Linked DNA regions of Caenorhabditis elegans. The protein of the gene in region 4 purifies or fractionates together with the protein of the main gene of each other region. This does not show direct contact. Each region holds a gene or a part of one and is shown on either strand. Other genes may lie near its edges.

Region 1 (6,369 bases), on a different chromosome or scaffold from region 4:
TTTAGAAATGTTGCGATTGAAGAATTTCTCGAACCTCCGCGAGTTGAGCACCGATAGCTTTGCCCATGGAAGTTTCACAAATGATATCAAGAGTGCACAAGGTTATAACGGAGAGAACATCAACTTCTTCCCTGAAAATGAATATTTGAAAGCGTTATAAATTGAAATTCTCACTCTGCTCCGAGGGAACACATTTTCTGAACCAAAATCTTTGATTGCTCGTTGAAAATCGGCAAAAAATCCTTCAGAATATCATAATGGAAGGTGGGTGTCAAGAGTTTTCGCTTTGGACGCCATTGTTCCTTCTGGCTTGTCAAAATACTGATTCCAAGCCATGGCTCAAGCAAAACGTATGCGAAACCTTTGTTCAGATGTTTCGTCGACGAGAAAATTGGTTCCACGAGATCGGCGGAGTAGAGCATCAGGCAAGGGAACGGACCAATCCACAAAAGACACATACGTGGATCTGGATATAAATATCCCATTCCAATTACTTGGTTCATGAATCCCTCTGGATCTGGCTTGGTGACCAGTCCGTGACCGACGATTGGATATGAACGTGGTTGATTGAGATGCTGAAAATTTATTTAAATTATCTTCAAATGAATTTTGAAATCAAACCTTCAAAGCTTGACGCATTCTCAAGTGTTTGTAGAGAAGCCAAGCGATTATCGTCGCCGAAGCGAGAAGTACAGCGGGGATGATAACCCCCATTGCAAAACCTTCTGAAATAATTTATTTGAGCGAAAAAAACGAGCAAAAAGCGTTGAAAACTTGAGGAAAATTGTTTGTTAAGCTTTGGTTTTGAAAATCGCAAAAAAAAAAGTTTTTGAACGAACATTCAAATTTCAGACAAGTCGTGGTGAGACCCATGTGAAAATCGTCATGCGTCTTTAAAGAGTACGGTAGTCTTGAGAAAGTTCTCGAACGAATTTTTGTCGTTTTCTGATATTTCAATCTTGATTTAAATAATTATTAAAAACTTTTAATTACCATTATTTTTTCAACAAAAAAATGAAGAAAACAAAAAAACAAATCCAAAACTATTTTTCAATGAATATTGTACTTTTTATGAATGCTTCGTCTATTTGACCTATTTGACGTATTTGATCCCCCCGTCGAAAAACCAGCGCAACTATTTCATATAGGCTCAACGAATTTTTGATCGTGAATCTTCTTCTTCTTTGCTGACACTCACAAAAACTGATGAAGTTTTTTAAAAAATGGTTTTATCGATAAATTATTATTAATCTGCCAATCACTTCAGTACATTTACTTTTTTTTTAGTTTTCTCTTTCATTTTTGCTTCAAATTTTTTATAAAATTTTAAATCAACGTTTTTCAGAATGTCAGCTCCATCTCGCACCGTCCTTCGCGATTTGACGGCGACCAGATACGTCGCCAACTACGCCGAAGAAGATCGCTTGGAAACCGCTCGAGCCGGTTGCTCTTCCCTCCCACCACAACCCAACATCAATCATGATGTAATTATCGAAGGGCACGGAGAAGATGTGGAGCTCGTCGAAGATGAGAACTACTGTTCCGTTCATCGTATCGATGAGACTCCAAAGCTCGTCGACAAGAAACCGAGCAAGACAATCATCCGCGATGAAGCTGTCAAAGTGCTCCGGCACATTCAGACTGTGCCGATTGAAAATCTTCGTCTTAAGCGCTACGACTATTTCTCGCAAAGATGGTTCCACACGACCAGAGAATCGGAGAAAGCGCTTGTCGAGCACGTGTTTCTTCATCCCAACCAACGACCACATTATTTTGCCGCTCAGTGCCGGAAGCTGTCGGTCGAGGATATCTCTAGTTTGATTCTGGTTAGTTTCTTGGCCATATTTTTGATAAAGCATAAATCTCATTTCAGACTTCTCTCCTGACCGAACCGAAGGAAACGGGACAAAATGTGGCTCGATTTGCTATCCAGACAACCAATGAAATGTCGTTCCAAACGTTATTTGCATTGCTCGAACAACTAGAGAAGGAAAACGAAAGGTTCCAAATGACAGATAGCTTTGTGGTTGCAACCCTGATCCGATCACAGACGAAGAGAGTAAGTAAATCGGTTTTATATTACACACAAATAACTTTTCATGTTTCAGACTATCACTCGTCTCCTGAGAACCACACACTGCCGGGAATACGGAAATCTCGAGCCAGGACTCGATTCACAAGGCCGGCTGATGACTTCGACTGCATCAATCACGTGTTCAATTCGAGGAAAGCGCCACGTGGAAACGAGGATCGTGTACAAGAACAACTCGAGCACCAGGGATCCTTTCCGAAGAAATAGAGTGAGTTGTATAGCAATAATTCTATCGATTTCCAATTTATAACATTTTCAGTACATCGAATTGGAGCAAACGGTGAAGTGCATGAACCGGCGAGTGCTGATTGTCGAAGAGCCAGTCGAAATCCACGAATTCGAGGTCGAAAAGGATATGATCTCGCTGGAAAACGGAATTGCGCCAGTCGACGACCTGATCTCGTTTCTCGAAACATTCGAACTGGATGAAGAGGACGAGTAACTCCATATATGTCCTATAATTAGTAGTAATGTGCATAAGTCTGTATTATTGTATATGTATTTAAATAACCGAGTGGTTCCTGTTGAATATTCCAACTAACTTCCCCTATTTTATTTTCCTTTTTTGTTTTAGTTGTTTTATGTATATAGATTCTCCAATGCCCAAATTGTGACAACCCACGACTATTTTGTTTATATTCGACATGTATATTGCCCGCATTTATTTTGATTTTTTTTCAAAGATGAATTTGTTTGAGGTATAATTTTACAATGCATTACTGCTCTGATTGATTGATTAGAATATGAATTTCAACTATTCCCGGCTTTTCACTGGTAAATTACTCCATATACGTTATTTTCCCACCGCAACAACCTGGCCTTTTCATTGCCTCATTCACAGCATACGACTTGTAATGTCTGCACTCTCCCCGTCTCATCACGTAATCAGGTCTCTCTCGATTCTTCCCGTTTAAATATATATCTGCTCTATTGCACCTCTTCATTTCCTTGTTCAGGAAAATAGCATAATTTCAAAATGCCTCGGAAGAAGAACGATGTGCAAATCACCGAGGAAATGAAGAAGAAAACCGCCGAAGAGGTTATCAAAAAGGTGAGTTTTATTTATTTATTTATTCCTAGTTTTGAAATTAATTTTCCAGCTGCCAACAGTGAAATCGAAGCAAGACGCTATCAACGAGAATCTGCAAAAACTTCAAGAATTCCGAGATAATGAGCCGAACCCCTATGGAAAGGGTAAAGTGGGTTTTTTTAAACAATTTTTATAACTAATTTTTGCGAAATCCAATCATTAAAAATTCAATATAAATACAGTAGTCTGTTTAAAGGGGCACGTGGTTGTACGGCTGGGTCTCGCCACGATTTTAAAGTTTTCTTGCAAATATCAATTAAAATCTTAACAAAAGAAATCAATGAAGACCAAGTTTTAGATAAATTTTTAAAATTTGAAGTAAAGTTTTGAATAGTTTCAACAAAATTTTCGGGGCAATTGCCTCGAAAATCTGTTCAAATTTGCAATCTGTACAAATTCGGCGATTTCTGCATGCTGTGCACAAATTCGGTTGAAATCTGGGTATATTCTGAACGGGTTTACTGAGAAGTTTCCATGGTTTTCGATGGAATTTCACATTTTGTCACCAGCACTCATCGATCTGTGGAATCACAACAATCATTCATTAGGTTCGTTTTCATCTTTAATCTCTCAAAATTAAAATAAATATTACAGAAATCTTTTGGACGAAGTAAAACGTGTTGCTGAAATGGATTATCGCTCCCAAATGGCCGGAGACATCAGTCGGAGAGATTTAATGGAACTGATCAAGGTTCGCGGCGACCTTCTTCCATTATGGACCAGCCATGACACACAATTTCCTGGAGAATATGTTGGAGCTATTGCACCACAGGATGGCTCGAAACTAGGCGACGGAGATTCAGTGGCGGCATTCAGTAAAGACGGAAACTGGATTCTTGCTGATATTGTCACATGTCACTCTAACTCGCGATATGAGTGTCGAGACGTTGATGATGACAAGAAGAAGTTGACAGTTTTCGCGAGAAGCCATTTGTTACCCCTCCCAAAATGGAAAGCGAATCCTGCATCAGACAAGCATGCACTTTTCGAGAAAAATGCGATTGTGTTGGCGTTGTATCCACAAACCACTTGCTTCTACAAAGGTACCAATTTTCACAAAAGTTTCAAAAATAAAATAATTATTTTCCAGGAATAGTTCACTCCCCGCCAGCAGATTTTCGAGAACCATATCAAGTAGCGTTCGAAGACGACAGCTATGCATCAGGATTCTGCCCTCCAATGCCGGTTGCTCAGAAATACGTGGTTGCCTTCCGAGAAGTTGCAGGGCTCACTGCATCAACTGCTCCAAAAAAGGGAAATGGCCACAAAAAGAAATGAGGCCATAATCCAATTAATTGACAGTATTTATTGTATGTAACTCCTAAAAATCCCGGAATTCCTTCTCATAAATCTCACAATGTTTTTTATTTGTCCATAAAAGTTGTTCTTATCAAAAATAAAACGTGTTATTATTGGCGGCAACATTATTCGAAAATTATACAAGAGAAATAATTCAGAGAGTGCAGAAAAAATTAGAAAGTGATCCAATGCGTGGTCTTGATTATTAAAAATTAACGTGATTTTAAAACCAGAAAAACATTTTGATTAATATATCTGCACGATCTACAATGATAAATAGTACATAGCCGTCATCCCATCATTCCTTCTCACATCATAACCACCTTTGACAGGATACTCGTCACATCCCGTCAATCCCAACGGCAAAAGAACAAAAAATTCTCTATCCACAGTCTCCTCAGCATCGAAAGCGCACTAGAGATAGCTATCTGCTAGATATTCTATACCTTCAAAGAGTGATTCGAGAAGATCTTCGTCTCACCTGAATGCAGTAAAATCGAAATTCGCAGATTCCAGTTTCCTGTCGACTCCGTGAATCCAGTGTTTCAAAAATATATTGACATCTTTGATTCTTAGATAAGCGACGAATGCGGAAGCATTTGTCACTATTTAGTACATCATTAAGATCATATTTCAATGATTGGTGTAGTACAACTATGTCCATGTTACGTGTTAAAACCATTTGCATTTGTTTAGATGCTTCTATTGAGAACGGGTTTTTGCTGCTTGTACAAATTGAATCAGTTTTACCGGAAAACTGTTTCAACACATGTTCATATAGCAAACTGTTAAAGCCAAACACTGTGCCTAGCTGCAAATCCTCAAACTCCAATCCTTCGAATTCATCACAAATCGTACTTTCGAATTGTGCAGTATCAAATGATAACTTATCAATTCTCTTTTGATGAAATATTTCCATAAGATGATTGTCCGTTCGTCCGTGAGAGTGAAGTGTTTGAGAAGATTCTTTTTGTCAGAATAAGAAGACGTTAGAATATGTTAATGGGTCCTGGGAACATGGGAGTGGTTACGGACGAAGGAAATCTTTGTCTCTGCAGCAGATGTATAATAACAAGTAAGTAGAGAGTTAGAGAAATAAGAGGTCACTGAACATTACCACTCAATCCTCCCATCTGCTCATTCTTTATTTGTGACCATGGATGACTATGTGCCTATTCCCTTCACATTGCTCAAATTACCTCAAAAATCGATTGATGTCGTGCTGCGCAGAATGTGCATAGAAGCATTGTGAGTACATAGATCATCATTAAATTTTTTCTGTAGTTTGCTGAAGAGCGTAATTCGAAAAATTGCTTGAGTGATTCGAGAAGTTTTAATGAAATGTATAGTTACTTTGAAACTTTTATTACTCAACAAGCCGGTGTCTTTCGAGCCTACCTCTCGACTTCCTCCGACTAGTAAAATTAAAATTCAAACATCCCGTTCTCAAATAGCCTTGATCCAGGGATATGGTTCACTAATCGCATTTCCTTGTCAATATGAAATATTCATTACAGAGTTGAATTATCATTCACATCTAAAGCTGCAATGCAACAAACTAAACACCTTGGTATAAAAACCGAACGTTTTATCATCGCAATTAATTCAAATGAAATATTGATTGACGTTTCCGGTTGTAGAGATTTCCGATTCTACACTTTCGAATGTTCAACCCCCAGCCACCATACTGTACAGAAGCCCATAAGAGTGCATGTTGGTTTCAGAGGGGAAAGATGGGAAACCCCATTTTTTGGAGTGAGACAATTTTTGAATCATCTTATGGAAATATTTCATCAAACAAAACTTGATAGCTTACATATTAGTACAGCTGACCCTGAATGTTCTAATGAACTCAAAGGAATGGAGTTTGGGTGGTTGTCCATGATGT
Region 2 (10,244 bases), 7.9 Mb from region 4:
TACCCTATTCTTACATTAAGCTTATTCGATTTTAATTTTACATTGTCTCTACACAGCAAATTTTCCCATGAAATCTGATTTTTTGTAAAATTTTTGAATTTTTCATCAAAAATTAAGGTACTATAAGGGTATTGAAGGATTACTGTACGGGTACTGTAGGGATACTGTAGAATTATTGTAGTTTGGGAAATTTGAATTTTTAGCTTTAGTAGAGGTATTTTGTTGGGAGTTGGTGGGGATGATGTTAAGGTACTGTAAGGGTACTGTGGGCTTACTTTAGTTGTTTTGTATGATTACTGCAGGCTAAAAATTGACCTTTTTCAGAATATAGTAGTTTTGAACATTTTCAGGAAAATTATTTTTTTGCCCAAAATAAAAAAAAAGGACAGTCATTAGAAAATTTGGGCAAAAATAAAAAGTTGTCTAAATTTGTTGAAAACGGGTAATTCATACATGCAAAATTCAGAAAATCTAGGTTTAGTCCGTCAAAAACTATTAAAAAGTGGCAAAAATGGCCAATTTATGGCAAAAATTCACAATTTTGAAACTTCACTAAAACGGGCAATTTTGTAGTTAGAGGACTCAAAATTGATTTAGGATCACTAAAAAATTGCCCTTTTTCAGAATATAGTAGTTTTAAACATTTTCAAGACAATTATTTTTTTGCCCAAAATAAAAAAAAGGACAGTCATTAGATGGCTGAAAAAAATTTTGGCAAAAATAAAAAGTTGTCTAAATTTGTTGAAAACGGGTAATTCATACACGCTGAATTCAGAAAATCTAGGTTTAACCCGTCAAAAACTATTGAAAAATGCCAAAAATGAGTCATTTATAGTAAAAATCAAAAATTTTGAAACACCATAAATTCATCATTTATTTATAAAATCCGAGTTCTCTCGACAATGTACTAGTGTGAATTAACTGATTTAAGAGTTTTCTCCAAACGCCGTGTCTTCTCTCTGTGCATTAAAATGACGGCAGTGACGAGAAGCAGGAAGAATGCTGAAAATGTTTTATTATTTTTGAGCTGATTCTTTTTTTTTGAAATTCAGCATTTTACTTTCATTAGACGCGATAAGTTTTCAGAAGTATTAAATTATTGGAATTTTTTGTTGTAAATTCTCACTATTTCAATTTTAATTTTCTTCAAAAACTCTTACCAGCAATTGCCAGCGCCCAATAGAATACAGTATTTTGTATTGCAGAAACCTTCTCGTCAACTCTGAAAGTTCGAAATTTGTTATCAAATATATATTCCCCAAAATTCCAAATTCCATGAAAAGCCTCAAAAAATTCTGTAAAATCGATATTTCTGAAATATCCCGAAAATTCTAAAATCAAAAATTTTTTTTAAAAATCGCATTTTTTTGAATTTTTAAACCTTAAAAAAATTTGAAATTTTTCCGACGTTTTTTCGGACGTTTTTCAACTTTTTTTTTAACTATTCAGACTTTTCCAAAAATTATTTGGCAATAAATCAAACTCCAGGAAATTCTGGAAAATCGATAAAATTCCATTATTTTCAAAAAAAACATTAATTTCCCAGAATTTTCCCAACTAGTAGCAATTTTCGAAAAATTCTGAAAATTGAAAAAAATCGAAATTGTTAAATGTTATAAAAAGTTTCAGGGAAAATTGGAAACATTTGAAAATTGAAAATCTGAAAAAGAAAATCTGAAAAATTCCCAAAAAATTTCCAAACTCACTTTAAATTATGAAAAGTGATTCGAACCTTCTTCCGTTCCTTCGCCAAAATCAAATCAATTTTCATGTGCCACGTGGAAAAGTCAAGAATGAGTAGCTCGCCGCCACGTTGCACGGTTCCCTGCAGCAGACACGGGCGGTTCTTATCGTATTTTTTGGGTTTTCGAAGATCAATTCTCCATTTGGCGGACGTGGTTCGCATATCGTGAACTTCTGAATCCATTCGGATACGGAGATGTTGGTGGGCTCCGACGCTGAAAAATCGATAATTTTGCTCCTGATGATGTAAAAGCGCTCTATCGAACAAGTAGGCATTTTTGTGGAATCGATAATAAAAAATCGATATTGTTAATATCGATTGTTCCAGAAAATTTTGCGATAGAGCACAATTGCATCCGATTGACAATAATTTCCTAATCAAATTTAAACATGATCGAGTCCTTATCAATGTCTCCCATTTTGCAATTGCGCTCTACTGAACTAAGGAAGCAAAAACCCACGTCACTTTCATATTATCCATTCCAACGAGCACATCGATAAATTGCACTTGCTGACACGAATCGGAAACTTGCTCCTCGGATTCCACGTGGACGTCTTCCTAAACGTAGGTATGCCTACATGCCTGCCTGTCTACACTGAACTTACCATCGAAATATTGTGGCACTTGGCCCACTCGTAGCAATTCGTCTTTTGAATATTCGACTTGCAGGACTCTAATTCGATGAACATTCCAGACGTGAATTTGTGCCTGGAAACAGCAGTCGTATCAAAAAAACTGTTAATTGCCAAAATGTAGAGAATTCGATTTCCTATATTTTGTCCATTTACAAAATTTCATTAGCTTTGCTTTCCGCAGAGTTATAAGCGTTTTAAGTTTGCAAGGTAAGTGAGAGAGTGTGTGGCGAGGGGAGAGCGCAGACACCGCAGAAACTTTAAAGCGGTGTATCTCAAAATTGAAAAATGCTCAGAATTTCATGCTCTACAAGATGGGCGAAAAAGATTTTGAAACTTTGGAAAAAAAAAAGTTTTTTAGCATTTTTGAGAAAAATTTCAGCGGGCTTTATCTCGGTGGTAATAGGAGCTACATAAAAGTTGTCAACTAACAATTTGTAGAAAATTTTATGTAGTTTATTTTATTAATTAAAACAAATATTCTGCCTCCCACCCACGCAAAAATACACCTGTTTTTATGATTTCTGTAGCTCCGAATCCGTAAGAGCTACAGAAAACTTGTCAACTAGAAATTTCAAGCAAATTTAAAGTAGTTAAGTTGATTAATTGATACTTTCTTCGTATCTCATTTTTGCGCAAAGATATGGGGGTTTTAAAGAAGCTTTTAACCACCTCCCCTCAAAACCTAAAAATTCCCTTTCAACTTACCCAGCAGCCTTGTTAGCTACAATGAACTTTGGCACCAAATCACTTCGGATATCTCTTAAAATATCCTCAAGCACAATTCTTTTCAACAATGACGAGAACAATGGAATTCCCTGATGAGCATACGGAGGGATTGAGAGCAGTCTGTGAAGTTGGTTCAGTGACTCGCTGGGTTGGTTGGGCTGGAAATTGAAATGGTGAGAGGTGATGGGAATTGTAAAACGAACACTTTGTAGAGAATTTAATTTTCTACAAGTTGCTATCATAGATAACAACTTTTTGATATCAAGTATCTGAACGGGATTAGACAGGTTTTGGGCTAGTCTTCTGGGGGAAGTGAAGCGCTATCTCAAAACTCCTATAACTCGGAGAATTTTGTAGGTGCCAAAAAGTAGTTAACTAAAAGTAGTTAATTCTATAAAGAATCTAATTTGCTACATTTTGCTAGCTAACAATACTTTGAGATCTTACATCTGAACGGAGCTAGAAAGCTTTCGAACTATCTTGGAGGAACTCCTGTATCTCCGCAAAGTTACCTAGCTATCAAAAAGTTGGTAATCTGTAGAGAAATTAATTTCCTACAACTTGTCAGTTGATAACTATTTGGTAGCTTGTACTATTACAAAGCTACAGCCACTTCAAATAACTTCCATCTTACCTGCGCTTCCTTTTCCATTTTCCACTTCCTAATCGACAAATGCCCAACTCGGGTGCGAGCGGAATATTGATTTTCATTGAAAATTTTAAATATGTACTAAAAATAAGAGGTGAAAACTGACCAATCACTAGCAGTCTCATAATCATGTCCACAGATTGAGGTGGGACAGCAGCACGCCGAACAGCAACCCCAATCATCCCAGGAGATGAACAATTGAATATTGTTCTTAGTGTCGTTCACAGAGTTTATTGAAATTTCCAGAGACTCGTAGTTTTCGTAGGTGAAGATTTTATCTGAAACTGTATTTTCAATGGAATTCTCTATATTTTGTCATCTGTCAACTAATTGCCAGAATTTTGATATCTTCCTGATAAATTAAAATGAAAGGGTTGTTAACTAGGGATCCATAAAGAACGTTATATGGATTTTGGAATTTCTGAGTTTTTTCCTTAAAAAATGATCACACGAAAAAGTTGCCAACTAACAAAATATGCTCATTAAAATTCTATACATTTCGGCAGTTGACAACTCTTTGATAGCATTCCTCTGCGCAAAGTTACAAGCTTTCAAAGTTTTCCCAATGCGAGAGTGTAGAGGAGAAGGAGAGCGCTGGCAGTGTCTGCACTCTCCCCCTCCTCCGCGCTCTCTCGCTAATAAAACTTCAAAGCGGGGTATATCTCGGCGGGGAGTAGAGATAGAGAAATCATGGAAAACGAAGAAAGAATCAGAATTTGAATTTCTATACGATAAAGTCAATAAAGCTTACCATTCTGCTCTCCGTCCCCAATAATATCCTCATTCACAAAGTTATAGCTGCTCACAATTTTACCATTCAACTCAATTCCACACATTGTAGTAAATCCTTCAATTTTTCGAGAATGAATCTGTAAATTTTTGAGTTTTTCAGAGAGTAAAGTCCTGGAAACCAACCGCCAGCTCTCCATTGGGGAGCCCTATAGCTTCTCTGTCGGTTTCAGTGGCTCCATGCTCTCCACTCCATCTTGTCACCTTTCCAAAATGCAGGTCTGTGGAAGGTGTAGTTTGGCAAAAGATATAAAAAGGAAAACGGCGTCACAGGGACTGGAATCAAAAATGTGCTCACAATAATTTTCAGTTAATTTGGCTCAATTTCGGGATGATTTACAGATATAAGCTAGTTCTAGATAAACTATACAAGCTTCAAAAGTACTAAGCTTAGGGTTTTTAATGGTACTACATTATTTTAAGTATGATGAAGCTATTGTTTATGGTGCATGATTTGTGGATTTTTAAGCAAAATAGCCTGTAAAATTTTGTAAAGAAAGCTCCATCGGCTGCTCAGATACGAGCTTAAACACCAAGTGGCACCAAAAAACTTGCTAAAAGCCATTTACAACTTAAAAAAATAGCCCGCTCAGTAGCTTCATGTCGGGCTTAAAGGTCATAAAAAGTTGAAAATCAAGCTTTTGCAGGTTTCCAGTTATTTCGATGATATGAAAAACAAAAATTACACCACCAAATTACTACATTAAATGTATTTTTGAAACTGAAAAATTTTATGCTTCTTGAAAAAATGAGAATTTTCGGCGAAATTGTCGAAAATCGCAGGGGGGGGGTCCCATAGCAGTTGGGCGGTCGATTTTTCAACTTTTTGCTCTTTTGCACTCAACTTTTGAGATATCATGATAAAATTATAGATCCATAGGTTTTTTGGTATGCTGATTCCAATTCCAATACTAGTTTTCTATAAAAAAGTAGCTGTTGGGTGCACTGTACCTACTAAGCACCTTAGGAGTACCCTTGAGAGATAATGAAGGCTTGTGATATGTATGCTATGCTTAACTAGACTCATTGAATTCAGAAATAAATTTCTGATACTTTGAGGGTAATTTCAGCTAGTTCGTCTAATTTTCAGCCAAGTTAAATAATACACTCACTATTAATTCTCAAGTAATCCTGAAAATTCGAGACACGTGGCTCCTGTTCACAATCCTCCCGACTACAATAGTGCAATAAATTATTGATTTTTCGAGAGCCGATCGTCAATTTCGTGAAAATCTGAGTGAAATCACGTTCCGGGAATACGTAGTACATTTGATGGAGACCTTCAATTATCGGATGACACGTGGCACATTGCGGTTGGTACGGGAGGCCCGCTTCGCGAGTTTTCTGCAAAATAACGTTGATTTTGATGCAGGGGCAGCGTTTTCTGGAGAATTTAAATATCGGGGGAAGGCGATCTCAAAAAAAAAGGGGCGGGAAAAACAATTGAAAATTTACGCTCCGCCCCTATAACAGGTCTAAATTTTGAACTTTTACACTCAAATCTACAAAATTTTATAGAAAAAAAACGGTTTTTTTCATGTGAATAAGCCCGCAAAAGATAATAAAACACGTGGTCAGAGTGTCCCATTTCGGTGTGATCTTCAAAAAATGCGGGAATTGAGTCGCAGATTTCTCAACAAATTTTGTAAGTGTGCTGGCGACACATTTTACTGGGCAAAAAATTTCCGCATTTTATTGTAGATCATTCAAATTTACGCTACGCCTCTATAACATGTCTAAATTTTGAACTTTAACACTAAAATCTACAAAACTTTATGGAAAACGCCTGACACCACGTGTAAAAGTGCGCTTCACCAAATTTATTTTAATCATTTTTTTTTCTCTTTTGCTCATGAAATGAATTTGCTCACTAGAAACATATAAAATCTAGCAGAAAAACAGCTGCATTTGTCTATGATCTTAAAAATTGATTAAAACTGGTCTTGGCACGATTCGCGAGTGTGCAAACGCGCTCCACCGAACTTTTGCCGTTTTTATAGATTTTTAGGCCCGAAAAGCTAAAATTCAACAATATTATATAAAAATTATCGAATAAATAGAAAAAAAAATTAAACCTGAAAAATGCGAAATCCAATATTAAAGAACCCGTTAGAATCACACAATTCCTTTGATATATGAGGAATTCGAAACGCCGGATTCGATATAAAATATGGTAATTTGTGATAAATCGTCTGATTCCCATTTAACCATCCCAGTGAGTCGAATTCCAAGATTTTTCCGTCGAATAGTATATTGTTGTACTTGTGAACGTTCAGGTAATTCTCAAATCTCCACGTGTCTTTTGATAATGGAATTGAGGAGTACAGGGAGTAGAGTTCCGCTCGTCTTTCTGAAAAAAAAACAGTAGATTTGAGACTTTGCAGAAAGGGGCTGCAAACGCGCTCCAGCGAAGAGGTCTCCTTACCAAACTCGATAACAATTCCATGCACTGTCGAAAAAAGCATAAGTTTCAGAAAATTGAACAACAAAACCATGGTTGGTTTGGAGAAATGAAGCAGATTGATTTTTCAATGGATTTAAAAAGTTTTTACGTGATAAATTATTTTTAAAAACATATTTTTTAAATAAATCGTATCGAAAATTTAATTAAAAATTAAATATACCCCGTGAAATTCTCTACATTTTGTTAGTTAAACACTTTTTGATAGCATTTCTCTGCGTGAAGTTGTGAGCGTTTGAAGTTTTTTGGGGTGAGAGAGTGTGGGGGAGGGCGAGAGTGCAGAGAGATATACTGCCTGCACTCTCCTCTCCCTCCACGCTCTCAACACCGAAACTTAGAAGAGGTGTATCTTTGCAGAGAGGAAAGATACAAAAATATTGTAAAAAGGAAAAATGTTCAGAATTTGATTCTCTATATATTGCAATAAAAACAAATTGTTCGGAGTTTTTTTTAGTTTCTTGTTTTTTTTTCCTGAAATTCAAACTAAAAAGTGTATTTGAGCAGTGTTTTGCTCTACAAAGATATTCTGCATTTATTGGGTAAGAGCCAAAAGTGCCATATCTAACCGGAAGCTTATTCTACCAAATTTTACTTAACTAACAAAATATACGCCTTGAAATTCTGTACATTTTTGCAATTTACAATATTTTAATTGCACTCCTCTGCTCAAAGTGACAGGCGTTTTAAGATTGGCGGGTGAGAGAGCGCGAGGGAGGGGGAGAGTGCAGACACTGCCTGCGCTCTCCCCCTCCCCCACACTCTCTCACCCGCCAAAACTTCAGCGTGGTGTAACTCGGCGGGTAGGAAAGATAGAGAGGTAGTGTAAAAGACAAGAATGTGTAGAATTGGATTTTCTACTGGATAACGTTTTGAGTTTTAGCATTTATGAAATTTATGAAAAATGAATGTTTGAATTTGAATTTTCAATTTTTAGTTTTCCAAATGATATTTCATAATGTTTCCGTCTAGTTTTCATTATCAATTTCCCTATACTCTACTGTCTGAAACTGTTTGTTTTACCACGAAAATGACCAATACCTAGTGAATCATTGGAAAAAAAGAGCATCGCTTCCCTCTCCCGTCTCGCTCTCAAAACACACACACACACAGTTCCTTCCTTTCTATTTGCATGTATAGTTGCATTCTCTACGCAATAAGTCCACCTTTCCGTATGTGTGTGCTCCAAGAGCAACGGAAACTGGATTCAGGTGGTTGCTAACCAACCAATTTCCCCCTCTGGCTTTTCATCCTATAAGGTTTCCAATTTATCACTTTTTGTCTCAGAGAGCATATGTGCCTTTGAATTTATTGAAAAATATAAATTTTTAGTTTGAAAATGTGCAACCTTTGCTAGATGTTTTGCTTTAAAAAGCACTCGCGCTATTTTTTACTTGTTTGTGCGTGGTTTTACGAATTTTTAACTAAATATTTCTTAAGCCCCCTATATCTTCCTGAAAAATGAAGATATCAAAATTTTCTCAGCCAACAAAATATTCTCCTCAAAATTCTCTACATTTTTGCAGTTATCATTGTTTCTCTACCTCTTTTTTCCACAGAGTTACACGCGTTTCAAATTCGACGGGGTGAGAAAGTGTGGGGGAGGGGAGTGCGCAGACACTGCGCTCTCTCCCTCTTCCACACTCTCTCGCCTTCAAAACTTTGAAGCGGTGTATCTCTGCAAGTAAGATAGGTAGAAGCATACTGTAAAAGCAAAATTGTGTAGAATTAGATTTTCTAAAAGATTGTAAAGTTTTGGAAATTTTTTTTTTTTTAATTAAATGTTTTTTTTTTCAAAATTTTCAAAAAGTTACACCACTTCTCAATGTAACTCAATTCCAAATTCCTCTTCAAGTCTATCCAAAGATCATATTGTACCTGGATTGGAATGTCTCTATAGTCCCTGCGCACTCTTTGCTCTCAAGAACAAATACATCACTACGTGTGCCTTATAGTCTGTTTCTCTGCTGCTCTCCTGCTCTCTCCTTTCCTGATTCATCATATTCGTGTTCTTATCATTTTTAAGACGTGATCTTATCACACAAAAACTGCCCATTTTAATGTGTTCCGAAAGAAAAATAACCGCCCATTGATTTTCTTTTTGTGCAGGAATTTGTAGAGGTGATTTACACGGTTTTTTTTAATTTTTATTACTGGAATTTTGAATTTAAATGGTTTTTTTTGTCAAAATTTAGTTATTATTAGTTTTTGAAAATTTAACAAAATCAAACCCCCAAAAAAATCATTTCACAAAATTTGTTTCAAAATTTTCAGAATTCAATTCACTCCTCTTGTAGAAAATCCAATTCTACACAATTTTTCCTTTTACAGTGTTTTTCTATCTTTCCTACCTGCCGGGATACATCTCTTCAAAGTTTCTTTAGCGAGAGAGCGTGGGGGTGGGGGAGAGCGCAGGCAGTGTCTGCACTCTCCCCCTCACCGCGCTCTCTATTTAAAATTTCTACTTTTCAGATCTCAAAACTGCTCTTAAAATGGGGCAATCAGTGAGTCGAGATGATTTTATTTGGACGTTAACAGAGCAGCCACATATGAGTAGACGAGAGGAAATTGTGAAAAAGTACCCAGAAGTTAAAAAGGTGAGTTTATATTTTAAAACGTATGAGCATTTTCTGAAACTGAAAATTTTAGCTATTCGGCGTTGATCCATCTCTAAAATACGTGGTGTCTAGTTTGGTAATATTTCAAATTTTTATGTGTTGGTTATTACAAGATGCTGATTGGATATTAATAATACTTGAAGCCTACTTTTGCGGTGGAATAATCAATCACGCAATGACACTTGCCATCCATGATATTTCACATAATACGGCTTTTGGTAATAAGTACCCATTGAAAAATCGATTTTTCGGAATGTGGGCAAATTTGCCGATTGCTGTGCCGATATCAGTGTCTTTTAAGAAGTATCATGTGGAGCATCATCGATATTTGGGTAAGTCCATTGTGTAAAAAATAAAATTCTGGACTTTTTTGCCTCTTACTGTAATTTTCTATCTTACCTCCTCGCCGAGATAAACCTCTTTGAAGTTTTGGCGGTGAGAGAGTGTGGGGGAGGAGGAGAGCGCAGGCAGTATCTGCACTCTCCCCCTCCTCCGCGCTCTCTCATCCTGGCAAACTTAGAACGCCTGTAACTTTGCGCAGAGGAACGCAATTAAAATATTGTGAATTGCAAAAATGTAGAAAATTTCAAGAAGAATATTTCTACGGTAACATCAATTTAATAAA
Region 3 (7,523 bases), on a different chromosome or scaffold from region 4:
GTGAGAATAGCGATAGATTCAGAGGTAACTTGTTGGTAAACTGGAGCTCCCAGCTCTTTCCAATTTGGAATAAGTTCATCAAGAGCTCGAGTTTCAATTACAGCTCCTGAGAGAGTGTGCCCTCCAATAACAGATGCCTTTTCGACAACACAGACACGAAGTTCTGAAATTAAAAAAAATATGTTTACTCTAAAATGTATTTGTTTAGATTTTACCTTTCTGAGCTTTTTCAGCCAATTGTCTCAATCGAATGGCTGCTGATAAACCAGATGGACCTCCTCCAACAATGACAACATCATAAACATCACTTTCTCGTGCCAAATCAACATCCTTCCACCGTGGATCAGTGGATCGATCCTTTACAGTATAGTGAGTAGTCGTCCATTGTCCGTTGACGACGTTGCGAAGTTGTGATGAGACGCGGAATAATGTGACTCCACTTATCCGCATTCTGAAGTCACAGAAATTGAGAAATGAGAAAGAAATCGATAATTGAAGAAATAATTGTTGCATTTTAATTTTAAAAAATTACGTGAATTTTCAATGAAAAATGTATTTGCTTTTTTCGCAAAATATATGCATTCTGGTTACTGTTAAATACAAAAAGGTGTGCGTCTTTAAAGAATACTATAATTTCAAATTTTCTGTGGAATTTTACTCTATTTTTCATAGATTTTCGAAAATAATAATAATAATTAATAATTAATAAATAAGCTTATTTACAGAAGACTCAAATATATCCGTTGATATAAATACTTAAATTTTAGTAATTCTGGAAAAAAAACAATGATAAACCGGTAGAATTTATGTAGCAACCTATTTATGTTTGAAACTACAGTACTCATTAAAGACGCACGCCTTTTCTCATTTAGCAAAATTTTGTCGCGTCGAGACCGGTGACTGTATCTTTGGGCGCATAAAATTGAAAAAAGAAACAACTAAAAATATATTTAGACACGATGGGAAAAAACAAATCGATTGACCAACTGCAGACAAAACAAACAAGTCAACAACCAGCCAAGCCAGCCACAATAAATGGGTGATTTACTATCAAAGATACATTTTTCGAATTATTTTTGGGGTCACAAAATTGTAGTTCTAAATATTTTAGCTAAAATTTATAACTTTCTTCTACGTATTCCTCAAATGAAAACAAAATACATAATTGTTGTGATTTTCGGAAAAGAAAAGCAAAAAATCAGGGTAAAGTGTATCTTTGCGTACGTGTAGAGGAAAGGAGAGATAAGAGGAGTAGACAAAAGGGCAAAGTACAACGAACATGTGTCTCCCACGAGGGACAAAAAGAGGAGAGACTACAAATCTGAACGTCTACAGTGCAAAGGTAGCTTAGTGACGTCACAGGAAAACAAAGTTTGTAGGGGGTTCCTGGGAAGTTTGAAAAGTTTGTTGAATTTTAACATTATCAATTGTAAATTGTGCTTTTAAAATGTGAATAAGAAAACTGGAAAAAATATTATCCGAGTTTTTGAAAAAAAAGTTTTCTCTTCAACTAAATATTAAACGTTATTTGTTTGCCTCTTCAACTTGTCTACGTATTTAAAATCAAAACATTAATGGTCACAGATCATAAATCACAATTCTATCATTAGAAGAAAGTAATATATAAAAGGATGTTCATCTTCACCCGTATATTAAACCAATTTTTGAGTTTAAACAAATGCATAGTTATATTGATTACATGAAAAACAAACTGATTAGACTTACATAAACCGGATGAAAACGATTCGATCATTAAGAGATCAAATTGAATGGAACACAAACAAAACAAAGGAAATATGACAGAAATTCTAATTACAATAAAAAACTTTAAAAGATGATAAAATGCCCATTATACATATTTGACTTTAATAAATCACTCAGATGGCTCCTCTGCCTCTTCAACACCTTCTTGTGCGGTTGCTTTTCGATTCCACCAGTTTGAGAATTTTGCTTTGACTCGACTACCGGTTTCTCCTGAAAACACGATCGAGTTAATCACTTTAGTATTAAAAATATTTTTTTCGTTTTGGCAAAATGTCAGTTTTGTAAATTTTGAACATTTTGAATAATTCAAAGCAATGAAAGCTATGCCCTCAATTTTTTACTGCTACTTCATTTCTCGAAATTTTTTAGATGCTATATTAATTTCCAAACCCGAAAAAAATTACCAATGGTATTTCCTAAATTCTTTCCGGCAGTATTTACAGTTCCAATAACTTTTGAAGCTCCTTCAACTCCATTTACGGCATGTTCAAAACGAAGATACACGTCATAGACTCCCATTTGTTCCGAGAACATGTGCCTGAAATATTCAGATTGAAAAATGTATTCATGTTCTGAAATTCCTCACCCTGGCGCAACAGATGTTAAATCTTCATGTTTGTTTGCAACCCAAATTTTGTGATTTTTAGTTCTCCGCCATTCGTTTACAAAAGCGATTCCAAAATGAGGTATCGCTGCTTGTAGATCGGAACGTGACGTGGCAACGAGGCCAAGAAGATAGTTTTTCATTTGTAAACGAATCCATTCATCTGATCCATCGAATTCAGCATTTGAGGATTTAACCTGTTCTTCGACTTTTTTGAGAATAAAATCAGCGAATCGAAGATCTGCAGTAGTTAGAGAAACTACTCGTTCCAATGCTGTGTCGTTGACAAATTCAATGTGATTATGGACAAGAGAACCGTCGTCTTCGATCTGAAATTACTCAAGTTTAGTTAGAAACCTGAAAATTGTTAATTTAAAATACAAACCTTCACAATAACATCAAATAAATCCTTTTTCATCGCAAATAAGGCATTCGTAGCTCCAAATATACAACTCTGAGTCTTCGGGACTAAATCCATTGATTGAATTGATAGATATGGATCAAATGATGATCCTTGTGTGAATAAGCTTATAGGAAATCCACACGAATCCTTTTCTTTCAATGGATCATCATGTGAAAGCTGAACACCAACCTCCTCTTCTATCACTATTTCTTCGCTTTTTCCTTCAGTTTTTGAATTTACATTTTTGAAATGACAACTCGTATTGACCCCGATTGTTGCGTAGAACAGACCTTCTTCCAAAAGCTCTGAAATTCAAAATTAAACGATTTTAAAATGTCTGTATATTCTTACTTGGAAACATTGAAACAATAGCCAGCATAGTTTCTCCTAATCGTAATCCAGTTGGTGCAATGAATAAAACTTTCCGCTCTAATAGGAATAATTTAAAAAGCAGTAGAGCTCGGTGACGGAATCGTATAAAAAGCTCTTGAATTGATATTTCTGAAACTGATATCGCTAATTAAAATGTGAACATTTGAAACTATTTTCATGTTTTATTTTAGTAAATTGATTCAATAACGTACCATGATGAGCTAGATTTGAAAAGTATTCTCCAGTAAGATTTTCGTCGAATATATCGCAAAGATTCGTATACATTTGAGCAAGAACATCAACTTTCGAAAAATCTTTTTGTTCAAAATATGCCTGAGTTATTACTTCCAATTTTGCTTTTAATGGACCAAAAAGTGGTATTCTTGAAAGAACGCATACAGCTTTTTGAACACTGGTCCTAGTCACATCTTCCGATTTATTTATTAATTCCTGCAAAGTCAAACAGTTTTTATCTGAAGAGTCATATAAAATCTCACTTTTGCATCGATTTGTCTGTAACACGAGATGCCAAATATCGATTTTCCAGGTTCTTCTCTAGATGGAAGCAAAAAGAATATTGTATCTTTTTGACAATTATGTACACCATCCGGCAACGCCAGTGATGGAAGAAGATGCCATTCATCGGGTAATCCCGATTCGCCCGTGCCATCGAGTTTCGGGTGCGAGTATTCTACCTACAAGATTTATTTTATTGATTTTTTACAAATTGAGTTGATGAACTTGAATTTAAATCTTCACTCCATATAATACAAAACTTAATAATTAAATGTATATGAAAAATACTGCAAAAATAGTAAAAAGTACCAAAAACGTTCTGCTTTTTGTGAAATGTTCGATTGACTGTAACATTTATTTCAAATTAACTGCAAAATATACGCGATTTTGTAGTTTATATTGCCATTTTATTACTTTCCTGCACATTTATGACCTTAATCGTTACGTTTTCGAGTTTATTCTTTTATGTATCATATTTTCCTGATTTTTCTGATAGTTTGCCATTTTTGTTACCTCACATCCTCGCTTGTGATGGAAACTAACGACGACCACATTCAGAATTGGATGCATCTTTCTCTGAACTGTAAGCTCTAATGTTTTCCCGAATTTTACCATCTTCAGATAAATTCTTATGGTTGCTATACCGGAAAACGGAATATACTCGTAAAAAAAGATTAATGTAGCAAAATTTATGGATTTTAATTGTTTTCAAAATGAAAAATTGAGATTTGCACGCTGATAATGTTTTCCGATAGGGATGGAAACGATTTTAGCGTTAACCAGTCATTAAAGTAGGTTTCCAACTCGCACCTCATGTACACCACAAAAATGAATAATTCAGGAAAAAATGGGCGATCAACGAGAAATTTACAGAAGAATTAAAGATATTAAAGGCATTTCGTAGTGGAACAAGTGAGGAGATTTTCAGGTTTCAATGAAAGGAAAGAACAAGGGACTTTTCAAAAGTCAACAGGAAAGGTACAGAATTGGATACTCACGAGATCCAGATTATCATAAATGAGCACGTTATTACGGCTCGTTATTGAGATTTGTTTCAGGTTTGATTCGCTGTGAGAATGAGAAAAGGCGGTTGAAAGAGACGAAGTAATGAGAGGATTGGGCACGAGTGCCGTGGAAAATATGAGAAAATGAAGGGAATTACAGTAGTATACTCGTGAAGGTAAATGAACATTTGAAATGGATTGAGCAGATCGAAGAGATGTTGTGGAGCAACATATTATGTGTTCACAAGCCATGGATTCTTGGCAATCGTCTCTGCTGAACGATCTCCATAATCGTAGAGAAGCTCTTCTCCTTGTGCGATTTGACGCCTGGCGACGAGAATCAGGTGATGCGACCCATCGATTTCCACCACCTGGAATGTTTAGTTTTGGAATTGTTATTTACATTTTTTTAATTTATCAAAGACTTTCTTAATAAATTTCAAATTTTGAAATGCTCACTTTCGTTTTGAGATTCGGCCTTAACACGGAATGATTGATGAGTCGTCCTTTCCATGGAGATTCTTTTGTCGCATCGATACACCATTTTTTATTGTTGTGCTCAAAAAAGTACATGTAGGATCCGATTTCCTCATCATTCGAATATTGTTCTTCTATCACTTTTGCTTCCGAGTACTCCATCATAACACCTAGAATACTTTTTAAAAACAATATTACAACAATTATCTGTGTTATCTACATACCTCTGTATTCGACAACAAAGTCTCCTTTTTCAAAGTTAACTTTCGTTCGAATTCCTCGCCCCTTCACAACATCTTTGTACACTTCAAGAAGTCGTTCATTAGTCCCCTTGAGTACGGTATCGCGAAGAGCATGTTTAGCTTCATCGCTAATTTGCTTGCTCGTCTTCCGATTACTTCGCCGCACTTGGAAGAATTCTGTGATTTTATGGTTTGAGACATCTTTCACCGACACTCCTTTTCTGAAAGAAAAACTATTTGGAAATTGAAGTTTTCAGCTTGGACAATTTCTGTGAATATGTTGTGAATTCAATTAGAAATATTGAAGTTTTTAAACGTTCTATTACAATCCCTCTTGTCACTAATCAATCATACCTGCTCCTTGTGTTTTTCGACGGTGTCATTCTTCCTGAAGATGAAGAGTGTGAAGCCAAAGACGATGGATTTTCGGAGTTCTCAATATCACTAGATGGTGACGCTGCTGCGGCACGATCCTTTCGCATTCTACTCGTTGCCAGCTTCTTCGCGGCAACTTTCATCCTTCGAGTGACACCGCTGAAAAAATAATAAATTTTGTAGGGTGAGGAGAATAGTAAAAATAGAGAAATTTATAAAGAAGCAAAAGAGGTGTCATAGAAATAATAGAAATATTCGCCCACAATTTATTTTTTTTGTTTTGAAATGGTTGGGTAAAAATATTATAATGTGTTGTTTCAAAAACCCAGATATTCAATATGATTTCATCGGTCCTGAATACTGTAATTGAAAATGGAAAAGCCATCTTGGATGTACCTGAAAAAGTAGTTGGGAAGAGGGTAACAGAGGAAATTGAAGCGGGCAGAGAGATGCGTAAAGCAGATTGAATGGGTTTTCGGAGGAATATTTTTTTTAGAAAGTGAAGGTTTCTATTGTGAAAAGGGTGGGCTTTCACCGATTCCGTTGAATTTCCAAATATCAAAAGACCGAGTAGAACATCATCATTAAGATATTTATCCACATTTCGTGAATAACCTCATTAGAAATCAAATTCAGTGGTTTTTGACGAGAGCTGAGCACAAAGAACAATGTCGTGCACACGCGACTAAATTCAAATGGTGTGCAGTCATATGGTTTTGGCGGGAAGTGCCGTGGAGCGTTATTGCACTCACGGTAGATGTCGGTGGTTGGTGTAAAAAATGGTGGATTGAAATTATGGAATTGAACTTTAAAATGTATATTTCCGTAATAATAGATACACTTATTGGGCTCGTAAAATTAAACAGAAAAGATACTCAAAGATTAAAATTTAGATAAATTTTGACGCCATGCGCATGACTAATGTTTCTATTTATATTTTAAATATTATACCAACTGGAATTTTAAATTTAGATGTCCTATTGATCTATTAATTTTGACTGAATTGAAAAAAAACAACTATGAGAAACAGAGCAACAAATCGATGGCAACATCGTGCACAAGAGTGTCATCGCATAAAAAATGCAGTTTGTCATTCTTCAATGCGACTACATGAGAGCCCGACGAAGAAGATATGCTGAAAAAAAGAACATCGAATCGGTGTCGAGAATCTGAATGACATAAGAAGATGCAGCCGCTGGTTTATTGATGCTGGCAGCTAATCGATTATGAATGGGTAATTAGAAAACGATCGGTATATTCTATTCCATTCCCTTCCTATTTATGCTGCGGTCGATAAAACGCTAAATCGATAAAAAGTTTAGTCGTTGTAAGATTGAGCAGCAAACAAAGAATGGTGCCGTCCACCCGTTCGTTTTCGACTGTTTTGTCAATTCAGCGGTCTACGTCACAACGCCACATAATTGTAGGCCAGAAAGGATGTCAGGGGAAATCGATACGAATTATCAGGAATAAGGAAGAAATATTGACCTTGAAAACCCAGAATTGTATTTTAATGGAATAAATAGTAAAAAAGAGGAAGAAATAGTGAAATCAGGGAGTGAAAAGAAAGGAGGCTGGTTATACGATCAAACAACAAACAGGAATGCACTATGGGGTGAGGGTGAGGAGAGTCGCAGAGAGAGAAACGGCTTGCGTCGAACACGCCAGTGGTCCAGCTTGCGCCTTTTCCGTTCCTTGCCCATAGTTTCTATTTCGATTTTTGCACGCTTTTTGCTTTAATGTTTTGAATGTGTATTTCTCTCTTA
Region 4 (6,176 bases):
GCTTCTTTTCTTGAACCTGCCGAGATAGCTCAGCAATGTGTAGACGATCTTCCATTACTGTCAGCGATGTTTGATAAGCTGATTTCAGCTTCTCCTGGAGTTTCCCACTTTTTGCCAACTCGGCGCGTCTCTCATCTAATGCATAGATTCCTTTGGCTAAATAATAAAATAGTGGAAAACGATGAACCATCGGGAATCTTACCTTCGGATACCATTTTCGTCAGCAACTTTGCCAACATTTTTCTTCCTTCCGTGTTGATCATGTTTCGCTCCACAAGTTGATTTGATTGGCGAAGAAACTGAAAGAAGAGGATTACAACTGATTGTCTGTAGATTAAAAATACCTCATGGCATCGCAGAACTTTTGGATTTTTCTCATTTGGACGTACTTGTAGCGTCGGAAACGACATTATTTCGCCTTGAAATAAAAAATTTTGATGAAAAATGAGGTTACCGTACCGAACAAAGAAACAGAAAAGTTCAGTTTTCTCCTAAAAGCAACAAACTTTTGAATGGAGATTTTTTTCGTGCCTGCACATCAAAGGTTACTGTACCTGCAATTGCTCGTAAACTTAAATGTAAAATACGCAAATTGCCATCACGTCAAAATCCGCCTCATATACACTAAACACAGTGAGTAGCGGAGACCGCAAAATGTCGGGACACCCTATCGCACTACTCCCTCCACCCGCAGGCTCATAAACTTACCTGGCTGGGGGTTATTTCGCGATCACAAAGGCGGAATCCCCATGGTTAGGCCTACCCATTGCACTTTTGGTGCGGGCTGACCTGTGTGGCAGTCTCGAGTTGAGATTCGCCAACAGCTTAATTTTTGCGTATCGGGGCTGCGTGCGCGCGGCCCTGAAAAGTGGGTCTATATGTAACACCTAGCCGATGTTCTTTTACGATATTTGGGAGATTTGAAAGTTCACTGAAGGATGGAAAAGACGCTAATATAAATTTATCAAAATTAAACGTCTCGAACTGGATGTGTCGTTTGCATAGCCTTTTCATTTGATCAAAACATCTTTATTTCTATTTTGTTCACAAAATGAGTTCATCGCCAGAACAAATGGCCGAGAATGTGAATTACCGTAGGTTTACTCATTGATTCAGCTTTTGAAGCAACTTTTACAGTATGTCTTATGGTGACTGCCACTTTAACTAGTGCAACGATGGTGCTTGGATGTACTACCGGGCATCGTGAGATGTTCCGACGAAAAGGTTCAAAGTCAAAGAAATCAATGAAATCGAAGAAATCTAAAAAATCTAAGAGAGAAAAGAAGGGTGATAATGAAGATGAAAAGGAAAATTATAAGGAAGATGGAAATGATCACAATAATGGATCTGACAGGAAAGAAGGTTCTAAAAAGAAAAAATCAAGACAGAAGAGTATGAAAAGCTCACGGAGCAAACGGAAGAAGAGACACAGTTCTGGAAGTAAACGTGGCAGTTCTAGGGACAAAAGAGATAGCTCTCGGAGCAAGAAAAATAATGTATCGGCTCATAAAATGGAGAAATCTCCAAGTAGACGTGATTTTGGAAGAGGAGGTGATAGAGATAGAGATAGAGATGGAGAATCCAGAAGAAGTAGTTATAGGGATGAAAAGAGAAGACGTGAAAATTCACATAAGTCAGCCAGATCAATGCCTGTAGAAAAAAGCAACAGCTACCGAAATTACAAGAAATACGATGACAAGGTGGAGGATCCACCACATGAGAAACGAAATTCTGATGACGTTCGTTCAGTTTATGTGGATACTGGAAAATCAACATATTCCACTGCTGTAAAGCCATCAAATGATAATCCAAAATCATATTATTCTCTTCCACCAACATCTCCTTCAAAGGAAAAACCCACAAAAAAGATTTCACGAAATTATTTGGCTGATCCATTGTCTCCGGGGGATAAGAAATCAGCAAAAATCTCAACGAAAAAGTTGATTTCTACAATAAAACCACCAAAAACGCTTTCTAAAAAATCAGCAAAATCTACGAGAAATCCATTGAAATCGCCTTCCAAAAGGTCTAATAGTGTGAGACCAGAAAAGAAAAATAAAATCATTTCGAAGAAGGCGTCCAAGAAAAATGTTGAATCGAGAAAATCAAAGAGAAAGTGAACATGTGGTTAGTTTTTCTTTTATTGTATTTTGGAAAAAGAGTTATATTTAATATCGTAAGTAGTCTCGTGAAATCACTTTAAGGACACAGGATATATGATTTTTTAAAGTGGGTCCCACCACGATCTCAGTCTCAGCCAAATTTCACGGATTCACGAAATCACGATTGCTAGAAATGGTTATATCTCGTAATTTTGTGAAAAAGAAGTACCTTCGTCTCTAGGTGTTTGGGGGAATTTTTGATTCATAAAATTTCAGTATTTGTACAGTTTAGTTGACGATGGTGTAGAGCTACTGTCAAATAATCGAATATCAGAAAAATACATTACAAAAAATTTCCAGATTTTTGTAAATTTCTATTTAGTCTAAGTTTTGTTGGTGAACTGCCAAATTAAAAAAGGTGATATTTTCCAGAAATTGAAATCAATTTTGCATGTCTTACTAGTTAATCTCTAAAATGTTTGAATGCAATTATTTCGAACATGGTTAGAATATGAAATTCGTAGAAAAAATTGATCGACTTCCAAAATTATGAGATCATTTTTGTCAACAAATAAAAAAGTTCAAAAGTGTTACTTTTCTAAGATTTTCCCCTCTTAGCACATCTTCTATAATATTTTCAGATTTCTGGATCAATCGTCTCCTGCTGTACAAGTGAACTGATATTCTTCCGATTATTTTAAAAGTTGAAATGAATATTCCAACTATTACATGTTTTGAACTTTGATATGCAACACAGAATTTTTTGAATAAATAATAATTTATTGAAATAACACAGAATCCACGAGAAATTAATAGCCTGGTGGAGTTCTTGGAGTTGGGCAATGGAAGCAATCTCCATTTGGTCCCTTTGATCCAATTGGTCCTTGTCCTCCAGTTTCTCCCTTTCTTCCAGCTCTTCCTTTTCTTCCTTGATCTCCAGTTGGTCCTTGAACTCCTGGATGAACTGATCCTGGAACTCCCTTTGGTCCACGTTCTCCCTTGCGTCCTTGTGGTCCTGGGGCTCCTCCGGCTCCTGGTGGTCCATTGACCTGAAATATTTCCTGTGCTGCAGTTAAAGCTCATCAACACTATAAAACTTACATTAATAACTCTTCCATCATCTCCCTTCTTTCCTGGTGGTCCTTGTGGTCCTGGTTCTCCTTGAGTTCCAGCTGGTCCAGACATACCTGGCTCTCCACGTCTTCCATCAACACCGGAAAGTCCTGGTGATCCACGTGGTCCTTGTGGTCCCTTGGCTCCTGGAGCACCTCCAAGTCCTTGTGCACCTGGTGGGCAGATCATGCATGGTTCAGATTGAAGTCCATCAGATGGTCCAACACCTCCATCCTTTCCATTCTTAGCATCATTTCCAGCTGATCCATCATTTCCGTCCTTTCCATCATCTCCTGGTGGTCCTGGTGGTCCAGCCTTTCCTTGTTGGCATGTACAACATTGTGGTTCTGGTTCAGCATTAACAACTGGTCCATATCCATTGTTGGTTCCTTGTGCACCATATCCACTATCAGCTGGTCCACTACCGTATCCACCGGCTCCACCTCCGACTCCAGAATCTTGAACCCATGATCCGAATTGCCAAGCACGCTTTGCACGATATCCACTCTTTCCAGCAGTTGAATACATGTTAACAAGCATGTCACGGGAACGCATCTATAATTATAAAAATAAATGATTTTATAAAAAATAAAATAATTGACTAACCATACAGAAACCAGTTTCCTGAGAGATTTCACTTTGAATACTGATAACCATATTGTAGATCATTGGAAGAGCAACCAATGAGCTCACAACAGCACATGTTGAGACAATAATTGCTGCGATGGCAATACGACGAGCGTGGCTGAAATTATCATTTTCATGTTTTAAAATAAAATTTCTTCGAGTGAAAAAGGTCCTGTTTTCCCGTGACTGTATTTATGCGGATTTCGTGAATTTTAATATTTTTGAATCTACAGTAATCACGGATACGGTAGCTGAAAAGAAATGCTCGTGGGTTCACCTACGGGTTCAAAATCAGAAAGAAGCAGGGAATAAATTACTTTTTTCATGCTCTTAGTAATCCTGATTTTTCTAGAAATCCTATAATAAATGTAATATTTTCGAATTTACAATAGGAAAAAATGTTTTAAAAAATATTCATATAAATTTTTTTTTAATTTAAAATTTTGAATTTTTTGAAAATTCACTAAAATTAACAATAAAAAGGGGGTATCGATAATTATTTCATTATAAACTCACCAATGTTGATCCTTTCCGTCCATTTTGATTGAAGAAAAAGGAATCTTACTCTTTCCCGTGGACCTCCATGTCCTTTTATGTCCCCAGCGGAATGGGCGGAGCCTATTCTACAGTATCCCTTTCCGAAAGGTCCTTGCCCTCTTATCCGTCTCATCAGGTGATCCGGTTTCCTGATAAGATAAGATATTATTATTATTCATATGCCAATGCATTAATAATAACGCTGTGCCTTCTTCAGATCTAGGTCATCTTCCCCCGCCCGAATCCTAAAAACCGGGCGGCCCTTTGTTGATGTGAATCAGTTCATGTGGAAAACCCTTCATTTTTGACACCAAATCTTAAAAGACATGCAAGCGCACAGCGCGCAGTACAAAAATTCGAATTAAATACATAACTCGATACACAGAGAAATAATTAAGATTTTCGAGGCGTAATAGACATAACGGGGATAAAAAAAGATAAATGGGGAATACTTAAAAGTTAGGAGTTATAATATTAAATAAGTAAAACAGTTAAAATATTTATAAAATTTTAATAATCTAGCATCAAAGCGGGCCTTGTCTTGGAGCGGCAGTGGTTGGTCCAAAACCTTGAATAGCTTGTTGAGCGAAATACATCATACGGGCATCCAGATAAATACTTGCATCGTTGTTACGAACACCATGACGCTCATTTGGGAAGATCTGAAAGTTTTTTTTTAAATTATAATGTGATTTCAAATCGAAATACTATTTTTAAATGAAAAATATACTATTGAAAAAGGAAACACTTCAAATTATCCCTCAGCTAAAACTTTCGTATAATTGACACTTCGAAATTAAAATTTTCGACACTTACCACCAACTCATGCCATTTTCCTTTTTTAATACACTCATCAACAAGATGTGTTAAATGTGCAAAATGAACATTCTCATCCATCAATCCATGAACCAACATTAAACGATTTGGTCTGAAATAATTGATATATTCAATTAAACTTTAACGATTTTGAAACATACTCGTCGGGCAGTTTTTCAACTAATCCAGTTATCGAGCTCGCACCATAAACATGTTCTTCGAGTGGATATCCCATATATCGTTCAGTGTAGGCAGTATCATAGAGACGCCAATCTGAGACAGCTCCACCGGCAATAGCAGCACGATAAATCTAAATTATAAAAGGGATTTTAAACATGATTATTTTTTGAATAAAATAAATTACATTAGGATGTTTAGCAATCATTTGAAGAGCCATATATCCACCATAACTCCATCCATGAACAACCACACGACTCATATCCATAAAACCACCAGTTCGTTCAGCAAGCATCTGGAGTCCTTCCACTTGATCTTCCACTTCAACAGTTCCCTGTAAATTCACTATATTTACAAAATAATACAAAAATCTTCCTACCATTTTCTTGTGTATATGACGCTCAAACTCTATTCCACGATGCGCCGAACCGCGATTATCAATGAAAACGACGACATATCCAAGGCGGCAGAATCGTATGTACTGAATCCAACTGAAAAGTATATTTAAATATTTTTATGAAGAGTCAAAATGAGGACTTACGAAAAATCGTTATGAACTATTTGTATACCAGGTCCTCCATAAACGTAATGAAATACTGGATATTTTTTGTATGGATCAAAGTTGCTTGGACGGAGAATCATCGCATAGTGCATTAGACCTGTTTTTCTGAAATAATCACATAAATGAATGAAGTCATTTATAATTTGTCTGAATGCTCAATTGAATTTAGGCAAATTAAATTTCAATAACATTGTTCTAACTATAGTTGTGGGCGGCAATTTGTTTTTGGCAATTCCATAAAA

Evidence for each region.
Region 1: the proteins of dpy-14 (region 4) and Y17G9B.8 fractionate together in Caenorhabditis elegans (co-fractionation; one large-scale study listed by BioGRID). This does not show direct contact.
Region 2: the proteins of dpy-14 (region 4) and Y54E5A.2 fractionate together in Caenorhabditis elegans (co-fractionation; one large-scale study listed by BioGRID). This does not show direct contact.
Region 3: the proteins of dpy-14 (region 4) and T26A5.6 fractionate together in Caenorhabditis elegans (co-fractionation; one large-scale study listed by BioGRID). This does not show direct contact.

What each region holds. Positions count from the first base shown.
Region 1 is NC_003282.8:4,755,405-4,761,773, reverse strand, and holds Y17G9B.8 (SGF29 C-terminal domain-containing protein), read left to right. Parts: upstream 1-2,933; 5' UTR 2,934-3,143; intron 3,144-3,192; 5' UTR 3,193-3,656; coding exon 3,657-3,730; intron 3,731-3,776; coding exon 3,777-4,225; intron 4,226-4,272; coding exon 4,273-4,460; 3' UTR 4,461-4,597; downstream 4,598-6,369. Other genes in the region: cyp-31A3 (CYtochrome P450 family), read right to left, coding at 35-131, 175-575, 622-714; memi-1 (MEiosis-to-MItosis transition associated), read left to right, coding at 1,347-1,826, 1,874-2,059, 2,109-2,300, 2,352-2,534; Y17G9B.11 (PID domain-containing protein), read right to left, coding at 4,832-4,912, 4,963-5,169; fbxb-77 (F-box associated domain-containing protein), read left to right, coding at 5,638-5,729, 5,999-6,369.
Region 2 is NC_003279.8:14,690,964-14,701,207, reverse strand, and holds Y54E5A.2 (Recep_L_domain domain-containing protein), read right to left. Parts: upstream 7,055-10,244; 5' UTR 7,039-7,054; coding exon 6,969-7,038; intron 6,894-6,968; coding exon 6,619-6,893; intron 5,888-6,618; coding exon 5,656-5,887; intron 4,765-5,655; coding exon 4,670-4,764; intron 4,624-4,669; coding exon 4,506-4,623; intron 4,033-4,505; coding exon 3,861-4,032; intron 3,768-3,860; coding exon 3,740-3,767; intron 3,264-3,739; coding exon 3,085-3,263; intron 2,453-3,084; coding exon 2,350-2,452; intron 2,303-2,349; coding exon 2,205-2,302; intron 1,959-2,204; coding exon 1,707-1,958; intron 1,223-1,706; coding exon 1,161-1,222; intron 1,003-1,160; coding exon 908-1,002; 3' UTR 816-907; downstream 1-815. Other genes in the region: ttm-5 (Putative sphingolipid delta(4)-desaturase/C4-monooxygenase), read left to right, coding at 9,494-9,598, 9,651-9,951.
Region 3 is NC_003281.10:6,446,457-6,453,979, forward strand, and holds T26A5.6 (UDENN domain-containing protein), read right to left. Parts: upstream 4,236-7,523; 5' UTR 4,230-4,235; coding exon 4,173-4,229; intron 3,839-4,172; coding exon 3,641-3,838; intron 3,594-3,640; coding exon 3,356-3,593; intron 3,279-3,355; coding exon 3,123-3,278; intron 3,077-3,122; coding exon 2,754-3,076; intron 2,698-2,753; coding exon 2,351-2,697; intron 2,303-2,350; coding exon 2,169-2,302; intron 1,975-2,168; coding exon 1,874-1,974; 3' UTR 1,556-1,873; downstream 1-1,555. Other genes in the region: let-721 (Electron transfer flavoprotein-ubiquinone oxidoreductase, mitochondrial), read right to left, coding at 1-163, 216-450; Histone-lysine N-methyltransferase set-1, read right to left, coding at 4,897-5,034, 5,123-5,310, 5,365-5,603, 5,737-5,900.
Region 4 is NC_003279.8:6,841,828-6,848,003, reverse strand, and holds dpy-14 (Nematode cuticle collagen N-terminal domain-containing protein), read right to left. Parts: upstream 4,416-6,176; 5' UTR 4,382-4,415; coding exon 4,359-4,381; intron 3,961-4,358; coding exon 3,822-3,960; intron 3,771-3,821; coding exon 3,204-3,770; intron 3,152-3,203; coding exon 2,912-3,151; 3' UTR 2,862-2,911; downstream 1-2,861. Other genes in the region: syp-4 (Synaptonemal complex protein 4), read right to left, coding at 1-156, 203-299, 345-410; H27M09.5 (uncharacterized protein), read left to right, coding at 1,052-1,094, 1,138-2,120; dpf-3 (Dipeptidyl Peptidase Four (IV) family), read right to left, coding at 4,904-5,041, 5,196-5,307, 5,357-5,505, 5,560-5,706, 5,752-5,863, 5,914-6,039.